Tamandua tetradactyla: one gene and its partner. The protein of the gene in region 1 purifies or fractionates together with the protein of each later gene. This does not show direct contact. Links are inferred from orthologs where the notes say so. Each region holds a gene or a part of one and is shown in the gene's direction. Other genes may lie near its edges.

What was found.
Region 2: the proteins of STK11 (region 1) and COPS3 purify together in Homo sapiens (affinity purification with mass spectrometry; 5 studies listed by BioGRID and IntAct, with this or other methods). This does not show direct contact. The link is inferred for Tamandua tetradactyla from reciprocal best matches to the Homo sapiens genes STK11 and COPS3.

The regions. Positions count from the first base shown.
Region 1 is NC_135337.1:81,784,582-81,792,562, reverse strand, and holds the start of STK11 (serine/threonine-protein kinase STK11), read left to right. Parts: upstream 1-4,763; 5' UTR 4,764-4,931; coding exon 4,932-5,221; intron 5,222-7,981. UniProt on the Homo sapiens protein: Tumor suppressor serine/threonine-protein kinase that controls the activity of AMP-activated protein kinase (AMPK) family members, thereby playing a role in various processes such as cell metabolism, cell polarity, apoptosis and DNA damage response.
Region 2 is NC_135332.1:1,019,403-1,026,766, reverse strand, and holds the start of COPS3 (COP9 signalosome complex subunit 3), read left to right. Parts: upstream 1-4,137; 5' UTR 4,138-4,266; coding exon 4,267-4,321; intron 4,322-7,364. UniProt on the Homo sapiens protein: Component of the COP9 signalosome complex (CSN), a complex involved in various cellular and developmental processes.

The DNA.
Region 1 (7,981 bases):
ATGAACTATGATGACTTTCCAGAAACCTACAACCTCCAGACAGGTCCCTGGACCAGATAAGTCCTGAAATGCAGAGGGGCCAGCCTCTCCAGAGCATCAACTAGTTCCATTCCCCTATCCTATATTGTCGACAGCCCTTGGCAACATGAAAAAGTTACAATGGGCATAGCCCAAATACCCCTAAAGACTGAGAGAAGGATCAAAGAAAAAGGTGGAATTATAACACAGATAGGATGTAACAAATGACTATGACTGCCGACTCATTATATTGATATTTCTATTAGTCTCTGGTGTCTTGGAGCAGCTAGAAGGAAAAACCTGAAATTGTGGAATTGTAATCCATAGCAAACTTTGAAATCTGTTCTATAACCACTTCTTACAATGTATTCTGAAATATATTGCTTTTTTGTATATGTTTTATTTCACAATAGAAAATGTTTTTAAAAAGGTATTTTTTTGTACTTTGATGAATTGTATGTCTTAAAATTTTACTCCAAACAGATCACTGTCAGTATCTGGAACTGCGATTGACTTTTGCACGTACTGACCCAACATCCTGCAACTGTGCTAAACTCGCTTACTTGCTCCAGCACCTTTCCTGCAGATCCCTCGTAATCACATTGTCTGCAAATAAAGACAGTTTTACTTCTTCCATCCAGGCCCTGTGACTTCCCTCTCTTCTTCCTTCACTGGACAGAAACTCCAGCACCACGCTGAATCCTGAGCCATCTGACTGCGCATCCCTGCCTTGTTCCTAGTGCCAGGGGGAGTGGCCCCTCTTGCACCCCGAAGTGCGGACTCAGCAATGAGTTTTGGGAGAAGCCCTCTGTCATCCTGAGGACGTGCCCTGCTATTCCTGTTGTCTGAGCGAATGTCTTGACAACTGCGGGACGTCACAATGGCGGATTCACCTGCAAGGGGACAGTGGGTTGTGATGGAAAGAAACGTGGACTTGATGGCAGCTCAAGCTTGGGTGGGGTGTTGCCTGGGACCCTGAGGAGGTGACTGCTTTGAGTTGAGTTGTGTCCCCCAAGAAGATGTGCTGGTATCTGGAAATATCATCTTATCTGGAAGTAGGGTCCTTGCACGTAGGGAGAAGGCCATTCAGGGCAGAGGCACATAGGAAGGGAAGGAGGCTGGAGGCTGGGTGAAGTGTCTTCGAGCCAAGGAGTATGAAGGATGGCCACCACCAGAAGTGGACGTGGCCGGGGGGGACTCTCTCCCAAGCCTTCCAGGAAGCATGACCCCATTCTTTTTTTTCATTTTATTGACAAGCATAACAACATACAAACATGAACATTCTTAACATAGTTGTATATTCATCACCATGATCATCTCTTAGAACATCTGCATCATTCCAGAGAAAGAAATAAAAAGAAAAAAATCTCATACATACCATACCCCTTACCCCTCCCTCTCATTTACAGCTAGTATTTCTATCTACACAATATATTTTAACCTTTGTCCCCCCTATTTTTTTTCTGTACCCCTTACCACTCCCTTTCATTGATCACTAGTATTTCAATCTACTCAATTTAACATTTGTTCTCCCTATTATTTATTTATTTTTAATCCATGTTTTACTTATCTATCCATACTATAGATAAAAGGAGCATCAGACACATGGTTTTCACAATCATACAGTCACACTGTGAAAGCTGTATCATTATACAACCATCTTCAAGAAACAAGGCTACTGAAACACAGCGCTACAGTCTCAGGTACTTCCCTCTAGCTTCTCTAATACACCTTAAAGTAAAAAGGGGATATCTATATAATGCTTAAAAATAACCTCCAGGATAACCTCTTGACTCTGTTGGAAATCTCTCAGCAACTGACACTTTATTTTGTCTCATTTCTCTCTTCCCCCTATTGGTTGAGAAGGTTTTCTCAATTCCTTGATGCTGAGTCTCAGCTCATTCTAGGATTTTTGTTCCATGTTGCATGGCCCCATTCTTGCATTGGTTTCCTGCTTCTGTGCTTTAACCCACAGTGCATTTACAGAAGCCTCAGAGAACTAACTAGTGACTGAACACCTTGGTTTCCCCTGTGGAAAGGGAATTATCAGGGGTCTCCACCCTGTGACTCCACCTGTGACAACCAGCTGGAGGCCTAGAGACAGTGCCGGGTTTGGCTTTCCAGGAAGCTGAGCTCAGTTAGGAACAAACCTGTACTAGAGTGAGAAGTAAAAGAAAACAAAATGTGTCAATGCAACCCCTTCTGCAGCTCCCACTGTTTCCGGGGTAAAGGGGGGCTCTGGGCAGACCCCACCCCAACTCATCCATCAGTCTCTCTAATCACGTTTCAAGTCTTGGCTTAGGCTGAGTGCTTCTATGAAGACTCCTTTAAACATATGCGGAACTCTTCCAGGGCCCACCGATATGCTTCTCTTCCTACCTGTCCTTCTTGGAAGGTTCTCATCACTGTCCATGGTTCTTGGCTCCCTCCTGCCAGCAGACAATCAGCGCCTTGGGCGCTGCAGCCACCTCCCCCCAAGAAACTTCAGCTGAGATGGGCCCAGGGGCTGTCTTTCTGTCTGACTGTCTTTCTGGCAGTATCTAGTGTTTGTTCTGTGGGGAGGCAGGCATCCTTTAGGAAACATGGTATATCAGTTAGCAATGCTGTGTAACAAATCATCCCCCAAAATGTAGTGCCCTCAAATAACAATAATTGTTAGTTATCTCATGATTTTTGCACGGCATGATGTAGATGTGGCTTGGATGGAAGGTTCTGGTTCAGTCTCTCAGGAGGTGGCAGTCACGCTGTCTGCTAGGGTGCATTACTCCAAGGCTTGGTGCAGAATAGAGGTCCCACACCCAGGACTCTTCGCTCTAGGGGCCTTGCCACAGAGCTGCCGGAGCCCCCCGCAACATGGTGCTTGGTCTCCAGTAGGCCAAGGTGGAAGCCTCAGCCCCTTTTAGGACCATGCTTGCAAGCCAAACTCTGTCACTTGCAGCACACCTTTTTGGTGACAAAAAGCTCTCCTGTTTAGGTGGAGGATTAGACTCTAAAAAGACGTAAATGGCAGGACCATTTTGGAGGCTGGCAACCAGGCACTGCCAAAGGGACCAGAACCCGGACCAGCTGCAAGCGAGAGGACAGAGGATAATGGTAACGGAAGAACAAACTCTGAGCTGGGCCCTACATACCCTGATCTTACGTCGTATGTAGGTCACCCCGATAAAACCCAAACACAAACAAACATAAGCAGCCCTGGATCAAACCTTTACACTGCAGAGAAGTCCAGCGTAAGCTTTGGGATGGGGGTGGCAGAACCTAGGAGGGCCCAAGTGGGAGGGCCTTGAGGGTATCCGCTTGACCGGTAAGGGTCCAGACCCCCCATGGACCTGGAAATCCTCCATCTGCCTCTAAGGAGTCCGGCACCTTGAGCTGCTTCTCCTCCTTGGAGACTCAGTTTCCCCATCCATGAAATGGGGTTTTGTGGGTTTGAGGACAGTGCCCCGAGCCCTGCCGCGATGGGGGCGGGTGTAGACGTTTGTGGCTGCATGTGGATTAAGCACTGGTGACTCTGGGGTCACCTGGAGGCCGCCGCGGGGAAATGGAGACCCTGCCTGTTCTCAAACCGCTGAGAAGCAGGAAGTACCGAGTTCACTTGACGGGTGCGGACGTTTCGCTCTTACCCAGACTTTTTCGGCCAATCTCTGTTTTCCGCCGAAAGCACTTTGCTGGGACCCTCCCAGCTCTGCTCTGGGTTCCCTGTGCGCCCCTCGTTCCCCCACGGGCGCTTCAAGAAGGACGTTCTGCTTCCATCTGCCACTTGGGGCTACTTTTCGACCTCTCACTCCGCCCCTAACGGTGTTCCGGGGGTGGAGGCCAGGAAGGCGTCTGGAGAACTCCCGAGCCGCGGTCCTCGGGGTCTGCACCCACTCCCGCGCGTTCCGAAGAGACCCCGCGTGCCCCTCCCGGGTCCCCTGGGAGATCAACACCTCGGCCTCGCCACCCCACGCCCGCGTGCCGCCCCCTCCCCGTGACGGGCGCCTCCTCGGGCCAATAAGCGAGCCACGGCCGCCCTCGGGCGGGGCCCAGCGGGAGCCAATCCCCGAACGGGCGCCCGCCCGGGTCCAAACGGCCCAATCCACCGGCGCGGAGGGGCGGGACGCGGGGCGGGGCAAGAAACCCCAACCAACGGGAGGACACGTTGGCGCCGCGAGGGGGCGTGTCCGGCGGCGGGGCGTGCGCGGTGGCGGAGGCGCCGGGTGGGGGAGGGAGGTAAACAAGATGGCGGCGGCGTGTCGGGCGCGGAAGGGGGAGGCAGCCCGGGGCGCCCGCGAGTGAGGCGCGGGGCGGCGGCGGGGGCGGCGGGCGCGGCCGGCTCCCGCGGGCCGTGCATGGGCTGGGCCCCTCGCCGCTCCGCCTCCTGTACACGCGCGGCGGCCGCGGCGGGGGGACGCGCGTCCGGGCTCCGGCAGCCTCGGGACCCCCCGGCCGGGGCCTGCGGCCTGCGCCGCCCCCCGCGCCCCGCCGCCGGGGCTGCCCGGGGAGGCTCGGGCCGCCGCTAGGCGCGGCGTCGGCCGCGGGGGTCGCAGGCCGGGCCGGGGGGCGCCGCTGCGCGCTGAGGAGGGCGGCGCGGGGTCGGCGGGCGGCGGCTGCCCCCGAGGGGCCCCGCGACCCCCGGGGTGACGGGCGGCCCGGAGGAGGCTGGCCTGCGCCGCGGGCGCGCGGGGCCAAGGCGCTAACGCCCTGGAGGACGAGCCGGCGCGGCCGGCAGCCCCGGCGGCCTCCCCAGGGCCCGCGGACGTGGACGTGGCGGCCCGGACGGCGGGGCCAGGCGGCACCGGTCGAGCGCTCCGCCGGGCGCCCGCGGACCTTCCTTCAGGACAATCGTTTGGCCGAGGAGGGCTGTTTTTCCTCCGACTCTGCGCTGACTCTGTGGACACGGGGAGCGGGGATCGCCGGGCGTCCCCTCCAGGATGGACGTGGGGGGCTCGCCGCGCCTGGGCGTGTTCGCCGAGGGCGAGCTGGCGTCCGTGGCCATGGACACCTTCATCCACCGCATCGACTCAGCCGAGGTCATCTATCAGCCGCGCCGCCAGCGCGCCAAGCTCATCGGCAAGTACCTGATGGGGGACCTGCTGGGGGAGGGCTCCTACGGCAAGGTGAAGGAGGTGCTGGACTCAGAGACGCTGTGCCGAAGGGCCGTCAAGATCCTCAAGAAGAAGAAGCTCCGCAGGATCCCCAACGGGGAGGCCAACGTGAGAAAGTGAGTGGGGACTTGAAGGGGCCTGCCCGCGGGGGTACCTCTCCCAGCCCACCTGCCTCTCCATGCTTCCCTCTTTTCCTCTGTCCCCCTCTTTTCTTTCCTTCCTCCTTCCCTTCCTCTTCCCTTAGCTCCTAACCCTCCCACCCTCTGTTCTCCCTCCTTCCTTCCCTCCCTTTGCCCTCTCTCCTCTCTCTCCTACCCTTCTGTCTCCCTCCCTCCCTTCTGTCTCCCTCCCTCCTTCCTGCCCTCCCTCCTTTCTCTTAAACACCGGAGCTGACAAGCATGTATCTGTATCCTCCCTGAGGAGAGAAGTGTCTTTGGCAGCCTGCAGAAGTGTTTTTACTTAAGTTGGGGTAGGTTGTTGCAGGTGGGACCCTGATTAAAATGAGTGTGATATCATTAAAATGCCTGTGATATTCAACTCCCTGGGCAGGGGGCACGCCCCTTTCTCTCTTCTGCTGTTAAAGGAACTCTTGCCCAGTGAGCCAGTTTGCACTTAGTTTATTTGGGCCCTTCAAGGGTGTTGGGGAGGTGGCCCAGCCCACAGCAGGTTTCCTGCATGCTGGCTGGCTGTTGCTAGGCTGAGGGGGTGTAATGTTTATCCCGTTTGAGGGGAACCCTGCCGCTGCCAAAAGGCCTTGTTTGCGCCAGCTTATCGGTCGCGGGAGGGGACTGGCGCCCTTCTGGCCTGCTGGGCTATGGCAGAAGAGGCAGCCTTGACCTGAGCCACAGGTGGACTGTCCCCCAGGCTGGCATTCTGGGCTGTTTGGCCTGCGACCCATTTCCCCCGCCCCGTCCTAGTGCATGGGAGAGAAGTGTCTGTGAGACCCTCCCTTGGTGGCTCTCCCAGGCTGGGAGGGGGAAGCTACCCTTCCTTATCGCTGCCGTGCACGCCTGCCTGGCCAGGTCCCCTGTTGCTTTCACCCTTTTCTTTCTTTGGAAACTCAGCAGTTTTCAAGAAGATTGTTTCCTTAACAGCCTAGCAGTACGGACCTGGGGCGCCTGACCTTGGGCAGGGCTTTTAACCTCTGTGCTTCGCCCTTAATCTCCCTGGCCGGTCAGCTTTCACCCTCCCCGCCCCCGCGGGCGGCGCGGGACAGATCCAGTGGGGCCCTGCCTGGGGAAGCACAGTTCTGACACTCCCTGGGTGGAAGGGTCCAGTCAGGTTCCACCCAGGGGCCTCCTGAGGGCTACCGCTGGGTCTGGGGGCACTTGCGGGGGTGTGGCCATGTGCCTTTCCTGCTTTCTCCCGTACTTGGTGGTTATTGGGGCACTGCCCACTGCCAGAGGCCAGGCCTATGACAAGGGGCCCCTGGATGGCAGGCGTCTGTCCCAGGGAGTACATGCCCCCTGCCTCTCAGGCTCCCTGGGGCCAGGCTCGTTTGGGGGTGTCTCCGTTGCCCTCACTTGGCTGCAGCCCCTCTGGGCATGCCCCACCCTTTGATCATGGGTCTGAGGTCCCTCCAGGCCCCTTACTGGGAATTACCTGCTCATGTTTAGGACGTTACTCGCTGGGCTGCAGGGCCCAGTGGCGTGACTCAGGTGTTTCGCCAGTGAGTTGGGGACATAGGACAGGGTGGGCAAGTGCACAGAGCCACTGGGAACAGCATCCAGGGTAGGGTGGAATGTCTGTTACCAACACCGTTTGTGAGCTTGGCCTCCTGACCCCCACCCCAGGGCAAAGCTGGGGTCTAGTGCCCCCTATCGGGATGTGCCTAACTCAGCTGCCTACTACCTTCCTGGGAGACTCACAGGTCCTTCCTGGCTTGAGTCCTGTGGGCTGGGAGCTCTGGTGCCAGGGGAGCTATGGGTTACCCATCTCCTGGGCCCCTGTGGGCACAGGCCTGGACTGGAGGCAGCAGGGCTGACCAGGCACCCAGGCATTTGGCTGAACCTGCACTTCCGCACAGCTGGGCCCTCAGCAGAAAGGGTGGTCAGAGTGCCGCAGTGAGGAAGGTGACAGCGTCAGGGTCACAGGGCAGGGTCAAGGTTCACATGGCAGGAGTGTGGCACAGTTGGGGGTTGTGTGGCAGGGATCATGAGCAAGATTGGGGTTATAGAATTTTAGAAAAAAGCTTTCACTTCACCTCTGCTGAAGCAACAAGGGCAGAGCCGGCACATGCTGTAGAGCAGGATTGGCTTCACTTATCAAGAAGGCACCCCTTAAGTTATGTGGTTTGGACATTGGCAAGGGCATACCCCAGGGTCAAGGCAGAGGACATTTCTGTGATCCCAGAAGTTCCCCGGAGCTCTGCAGAAGGGGTAGGTGGGCAGAACCCAATGTGGGCAGAATGGCAGGGCCAGGGGGAAGTGGGATGGCATGTGTTCTGGGCTGCCTAATTCTCAGACATAGACTGGGTCCTCAGAGACCTTGCAACCTGCATGCAGCTGTAGGGGAGCTCCCAGGGGACATCGGTCCTCCTGAAGCAGAGGGGAAACTGAGGCCCAGACTCCACCGTAGTCACCAGCTTCCCATGGCCCTGTGGCTGGTGCTGATTCTCCCAGCAGCACAACATGTCCTCAAGGCCCTGCTCAGCAAAGGGGCTGGGTGTCTACAGTGCCAGGATGGGAGCAGGGCCGCGTGCCCAGAGTGCCCTGAGCACCCTGTGGTGTGGGAGAGGAGGGACCCTCCCATGAGCCTCTCTGCTGAGGCTCAACTCAGAGCCCTGTTCCATCCACCAGCGCTTGGGCCTTCTTTCCAGCACTTGGAAATCCTCCTTCCTGGGCCACGTCACATAGCAGGCAGTGGTTGCATGGAGT
Region 2 (7,364 bases), on another chromosome or scaffold:
AACCACCTAATCAGAAGGTCCCATCCACAACTGGGTGGGTCACATCTCCAAGGAAACAACTTAATCATAAAGATCCCACCCAATGACACTGAATGAGGAACATGCTTTTCTGGGGTGCACAACAGTTTCAAACCGGCACACTGACTCTGGGGGATCCTGCCTTCTTATCAAGCCAGCATACCCAGCCCCATGTGCGGGCGACCCCAAAGAGCAGGGCCCCGCCCCGTACCCCGGGCCAGTCAGACTTCGGGATCACTGTAACCCAACCGCAACCCCATGAGAGAACCCAAGCCAGAGCCACCTCGCCAAGCCTGGTTTCCAACCCTCAAAACGGTAACAAAATAAATGTGCAGGGTTGTTCCAAGCTGCGGATTTGGGGGGCAGTTTGCTACATGGCAGAGGATAACTGGGATGTGGGGAGAAAGGCTTCCTTCTGCCCAGGCACTCAGGACCTGTCTAGGCTGACCGAAGCTTGGGGGCTTCAACACAAGACTTGCTGGATTGGATCATGCAGCTGGTTTTGACACGTCTTCATCTCAGTCCGCACTCCTGCGGGTGTGAACCCGTCGTAAACAGATTCTCAAAATGTTATTCTAATTAAGGCGTGGCCCAACTGAAGGAGGGGGCCATCATCCTGTAAGCAGAAGAAATGCAGACCTGGCAGGGAGGAGTCAACTGAACCAAAGGGATGGCAGAGGATGTCGCCATGTGGCGGGAAAGCCACGGAACCCAGGATCACATGCCAGCCACCGCGCTAGGGAGCCCCGGAGGAAGCCAGCCTTCCAGCCTCTAACCGTGAGCCAAAAAATCCCTGTGGTTTAAGCCAACCCACTGTGTTGGCATTGGTCACGGCAGCTCAGGAGAGCTATGACAGTGATTTTCTCTGTGGGTGTGGACACCCAGCCAGTGGGCAGGGTGGAGAGAGAGCTGTGCAGGCTAGGCTTGGGTGCAGTGTATGACTTCCCATCGGCCCAAACTCAGTTACATAATTCATACCTGAATGCAGAGAGGCTGGGAAATGCACAGCAAAGCAAAGAGAAAAGGACTGTGTGAACGAGGCTCGTGGCCACAGGACTGTGGCTTCTAAGGTCTGCTGTCACACTGACTTCCACCCTTTCTCTCCCGGGAGCCAGATTCCTTTCTTTTGGGTCATATCTCAGTGAAGCTTTAACAATGATGGTTTTTAAAAATTTTCAAGTTTCCACTTGCAAACATTGATTGGATCTGAAAATGCTTTCCACATTTTAAACGCTGGGCAAGGCTGAGAGATGATTACTACAGCTATAGGGCAAGTGGTTCCCAGCTGAGACACAGAGTGATGTCCTCGCTCGCTACCTTCTAGCCAGGCCAGCACTTTCTCTATTCCTGAAACACACCAAGCTTGCTTCTATTTTAAGGGTTTTGTACAGCAAGTTCACTATTATCTGGAACTCTGCTCCCAGATCTTCTCTTTAATGGGCTCCTTTTCACCCTTCATGTCCCAGAGAAGCCTTTCCATGCCCCATCACCACGTTTTATCATCTTTCTAACCCATATTACTGTCTGAAATTATTTTGATAATTTGCTTGCTTAGCAGCCTTACTCCCTCAACCGGAACTTTACGTCTGCAGGGACTTTGTTTTGTTCACAAACATAGATCCCTGGCATGTGGCATAGGACTGACACACGTTAGATGAAAACTATGAGTCCGAAGGACGAACAAATGACTGAATACAGCATCACCATCAGCTGCTGTGTTTCAGTCTGTGGTGCTGTACATTTCAGGTAATTGTGCAATATCACAGATGACTGCCCTAAAAAACACAAGTTAGAATATATTCAAGGTGATACCTAGAATCACAGCTCTTTTGATCACTTTGTTCTTGAGGAGGGAAGGGTGACTTACTCTAAGCTCTAACTCGAAGTGGTTCACCTATGCCACAATCCAGAGGTTTTCAAACTTCCGTGTCCATGAGAGTTACCTGCAAGGCTTGTTAAAACAGATTTCTGGGCACACCCTCAGCATTTCTGAGGTAGTAAGTCAAGCATGGGGCCAAAGGATTTGCATTTCTAACAAGTTCTCAAGGAATGCTGACGCTGCTAGTCTGGGAAACACACTTCAAGAGCCAGAGCCACAATCTAAAGGGCCCACCTACGCTAAAGCGTCATCAGTAACTCTGGCTACTAGGAATTCTTGTAGCACTTTACTTCGCGGGAACATTGTTTTTACTTCATTAAAAGCTGTGTACAAAAATTTATATTTGACTAGTGCATTTCCTAATATAACTTATGTAGATAGTTTGATTGAACACCATTTAAGTACTTGGAATCTCAGGTAGGACATGAGATTTTGTTGGTTTGTCCAGAGTGATGCCTCGATGAATCCCAGAGTGATTCGATCAGTGAGTGGAAAAGTATTTGCGGGCGGGCCGCGGTGGCTCAGCGGGCAAAGTGCTTGCCTGCTATGCCGGAGGACCTCGGTTCGATTCCCGGCCCCAGCCCATGTAACAAAAACGGAAAAACAAAATACAATAAAGCAAGAAAATGTTTGGAAATGTTTCCCTTTCTTCCTTCCTTCCTTCCTTCTCTCTGTCTTTCCTTTAAAAAAAAAAAAAAAAAAAAAAAAGTATTTGCAAAGTCCCCTTCAGGGAATGGTGAGAGTGGGGAGAAATTCAACTTCCCCAAGTTGAATTCTTGATATTCTCACAAGCAGGGTGGACAACCAAAGCTATAGGCTGAGCCCCCAGTCTTGGGGTTTGTTCATATGAAACTTAACCCCACAAAGGATAGGTCAAGCCTACTTAAAATTTAGGCCTAAGAGTCACCCCCAAGAGAGCCTCTTTTGTTGCTCAGATGTGGCCTCTCCCTCCAGCCAACATGATGAGCAGTCTCACCACCCTCCCCCTCTCTGCATGGGACACGACTCCCAGGGGTGTGGACCTTCCTGGCAACGTGGGACAGAGATCCTGGAATGAGCTGAGACTCAGCATCAAGGGATTGAGAAAACCTTCTCAACCAAAAGGAAAAAGAGTGAAATGAGACTAAATGTCAATGGCTGAGAGATTCCAAACAGAGTCGAGAGGTTATCCTGGAGGTTATTCTTACGCATTAAGTAGATATCACCTTGTTAACCAAGATGTAATGGAGAGGCTGGAGGGAAATGCCTGAAAACGTAGAGCTGTGTTTTAGTAGCCATGTTTCTTGAGGATGATTGAATAATGATATAGCTTTCACAATGTGACTGTGTGATTGTGAAAACCTTGTGTCCGATGCTCCTTTTATCTACCTTGTCTACAGATGAGCAGAACATATGGAATAAAAATAAATAATGGGGGAACAAATGTTAAAATAAATTTAGTTTGAAACGCTAGTGATCAATGAAAGGAAGGGGTAAGGGGCATGGTATGTATAATTTTTTTTCTGTTTTCGTTTTATTTTTCTGCTGTCTTTATTTCTTTTTCTGAATTGATGCAAATGTTCTAAGAAATGATGAATATGCAACTAAGTGATGATATTGTGAATTACTGATTATATATGTAGAACGGAATGATCACGTTAATATTTTAGTTCGTTTGTTAAATTTTATTTTAATTAATAAATTAATTAATTTTTTTAAAAAAGCTGTGTACATCCATGGGCCTATAAGTCAAAATACCTGTCTCGTGCGCTGCAAGGAATAAGTCTTGGGACCAGTTGTTGACACACAACATTCTAAGGCATTTCCATTTTAGAATAAAACATGTTAAAATCATTCATCTAAACGTGTCTCAAATCTACCAATCCATTTTCATCTCATCAGGGCTAGGCGTAAGCGCCTACGTCCCTGAGGCCGCCGTCAGAATCTGCACAGGACTGTCAGGGAGCTGCGGAGCGGCAGACACCGGGGCGAAACAGGCTGCCGTCCGCCCAGCTCGGCTCGCGGAAGAGGCTCGAATCAGACGGGCGTACGGGACGACCATCCCCAGCAAAACCCGGAAAACGTACATAATTATGAGTGCTGTTACCTCTCTGGCCCGCGGCCCGTTGGGACGGCTGCGGGGAGGGATCCACCGGGCACAGAATAGAGACCGGAAAGAAAGTGAACTTCCGGCCGCGAGGAGTCCTCGAATGGTTTCCATGGAAACAGAACCTGTCCCCAGGAGGTGAGATCTCGCGGTGCTTGAGCCGGCGGAAGTGACGTCGAACCCTACAGGAGGCCCTCCGGTGCATCGCCACCGCCCCTCCTCCCAGAGCGGCCGCCTTTTCCCGCCCGAGCCGCCTCCGCCGCTTGGGCCACCCGCGGGAAACATGGCGTCTGCCCTGGAGCAGTTCGTGAACAGCGTCCGGCAGCTCTCGGCTCAAGGTGAGGTCCCAGGCCGCCGACTACGCCTGGAGGGGCCCCGGGGTTGGGCCCGCATCCCCGAGCCCGTGGCGCGGACGGCTGTACGGCCCCGCGGCTCCAGAGACGCATCTCTGGGCTGGCTTCGGGGTTGAGGTGCCGAGACTCGCAGCAGTCGGGCTCCGCCCGCCCCGCCTGCCGGCCTGCGCGCTTGCGACCGGGTCGCCCTTCCGAGCTCTGCCTCGGCCGCCCGGCCCCGCTCCCCTCCTCCCACCCGGTTAGGGCCCGTTCACTGGACGCGCTGCTTGACAGTTTGGGGGCGGGACGGTTCCCGCGCGCCTATTGGACGCCTCGGCCCCTATTCCGCTCCGTGGTTGGCGGGCCACCCTGTCTGTCCCGGCGGGCCTTGGCTGCCTGGGGACTAGGCCGCGGGGAGCCGGCGGGAGGCGAGTCCATTCCGGGCGCCTTGGCTCCGAGGCCCGCCTGGCTCGTGTCTTCCGCCCGGCCTCCCTCGGCTGCTGGCCGGCGCTCGCTTGGGAAGCCTCTGCGCCTATTGTAATTCTCCGACAAGCCCAGGAAACGCTCGCTCTTGCGGGTACTGCGATTATTGTGCACTTAATTTTCCATGCCTTGTGGTTCATTCATCTCATCATCTGAATGTAAGGCTCGGGATGGAGCCCGGGACTCGGAGTTAGAGAAATTAGGTGCTGGGTGCTTAAGCCCTTTTGACTGTCCTGAATAATAGCCCCTGCCTCATGGAGTCGTGAGGATTGAATGAGAGAAAACATAAAAGCACTAAAAACAGGGACTCTCACGTAGGACGCAATAAATAAGGTAAAAAATCAGTGTGAACTGCCATTCCTTGTAAAGTTCTAGGAACTGAGTGACCTTGGACAAGTCACGTATAATCTCTCGAGTCTCATCTCCATTTGTAAACCTGAAGGGGTGAGGTCTACCTCTCTGTAGGTGATCTCGTTTGGAGCTTAATTTGTAGTCGTCTAGCCCCATGTTCCTTATTGATAGCAATTTGGCTCACAAGTAAGGCACGGATTTGTGTTTCTCTACGAATGAGAAAACCATTCATTTATTCCACACTTAGTTTCTACTTTCTGGGTTATAGTGTGATTAGAAGGTTCCAGTTGGTTCAGTCACTTAATGGACCAGCCACTTAATTTTCTTGGGCCAGTTTGCTCGTTTACAGAATGGAATGAGGACTGTAGGTGCATCAAGTGGGATTAGTCATCGGAAAGCTTTGTTCAGGACTCTCTCTTAGGGACAGCCGGTTAGGCAGAAATAAATACCATACACACACAGTTTCTGTGCCTCATTCTTACTGCATGTTAAGTGTTTGAGTTTCTGTTTTCTCTGAGCTTATTCACAATTTTCTAACATGAAAGGTACATTATCATTTCCAGCTTTTTCAGATTAGAGGGCGTTTCATCAGCCACGTCTCTGGTTGTGCTCATTTCAGATAAACCCTGTGGCACTTAAACTTATTCTTTACTTTCCTCTTGGCCCTGCTCAGTTAACTACCTTATGATTTCTTAATAACCCAGTGTTTTGTTTTGCTAAAGCTGGCAGAATGCAATATACCAGAAATGGACTGGCTTTTAGTGTGAATTTATTAGCTTACAAATTTACAGTTCTAAGGCCATGGAAACATCCCAGTTAAGGCACATGGCCTCGTCTGTTCTTCCTTCTCTCCTGGGTTTTGTTGCTTCAACTTCTGGCAGAATTCCCCATCTGTGGCTTTTTTTTGGGAACTTCCTTGGGTGTTTCTCTGTGAACGTCCCTTAATTTCATCTCCCATAAAGGACCCCAGTATGAAGATTAAAACCCACCTTGCATGAAGTGGGTCACATCTCAATTGAAATAACCTGTTCAGAAGATCCAAGTCCAGTAGGTCTGCGCCCACAGGAATGGGATAAACAAACATGGCCTTTTCTGGGGTACACAGCAGCTTGAAACTACCACACCCAGCTTCTTTTTAAGTTTCAACTTGGCATTGGTTATTTAATTGGGGGAAAAAATAACTCACTGAAATAATTGTTTCAGGTGCTTAAAATCATTGTAAATGTATTTAAAGTGGTAGGGAAAATTATTCAGTTGGAGGAAAATGTCTTTCATGCCTACCAGTGAGATCCATAATGATATAACTTGGTATTTATTTCTCAGTTTAATGTGTCTTATTACCTTGAAAATTGATACCTAATAAGATTGTGGGTGTTTAATTCTTGTTTTGTGCAACATGTAATAATAATGGGACATTTTGGTAAAACTGATCAAATAAGAAATGTTATAGTATCGAGGCGTCAGAAATTAAACTATCAAAGTGCCTAGCCACAATCTTGTATTTAAGCGTTGTATATTTTGCGTTATTTTAATAAGTGCAGTAACACGACTACTCTGTGGATGTGGTCAGTATTGGTGACTTGACGTTCAGAAGGTGAAAGAGAAGTATTAGAGGAGGAAGCTGAGAGCCTGATGCTCGTGGGCACAGATGAAACTCCAAAGCCACCAGGAGGACAGGGAATTTGGGGGTGCAGTGTGGCCATTGTGTCCCTCTTCAGCCTAACCATCAAAATGAATGTCTCTATAAAAGTAACAACTCAGGCTGAATTGATGTCTATAACTTTGTCGTTAAAATACCAGTGTGGTAGAGTAGAAAGATCTGTTGGGGTGCGTGGTAGTTCAGTGTTTAGAATGCCCGCCTTTCACGCGGGGGACCCAGGTTCCATTCCTGGACCATGCACCCAAAAAAAAAAAAAAGAAAGAAAGATTAGTTAGAAGATTAATTAATTTCACAAGCTCTGTTTTGGGGCTGAATAAACGACACAGTCTTTCCATCCATGGAGTTTACTCCGTCCCCTAACTGTCAATTTCATTTTATGGGAAGAGCGCCTTTGGGCCAGGGGGGATCTGCGCTGACTGCTGGGTGAGTATGAACGAGCCTGGTGGTGGAGGAGGTGGGGGAGAGGGACTGAGGGAGGAGCATGTGCAGAGACGTAAAGATGAGGGAGCATGGCATATTGAGTGAATTTCCAGATTTTGGTATGACCAAAGAATA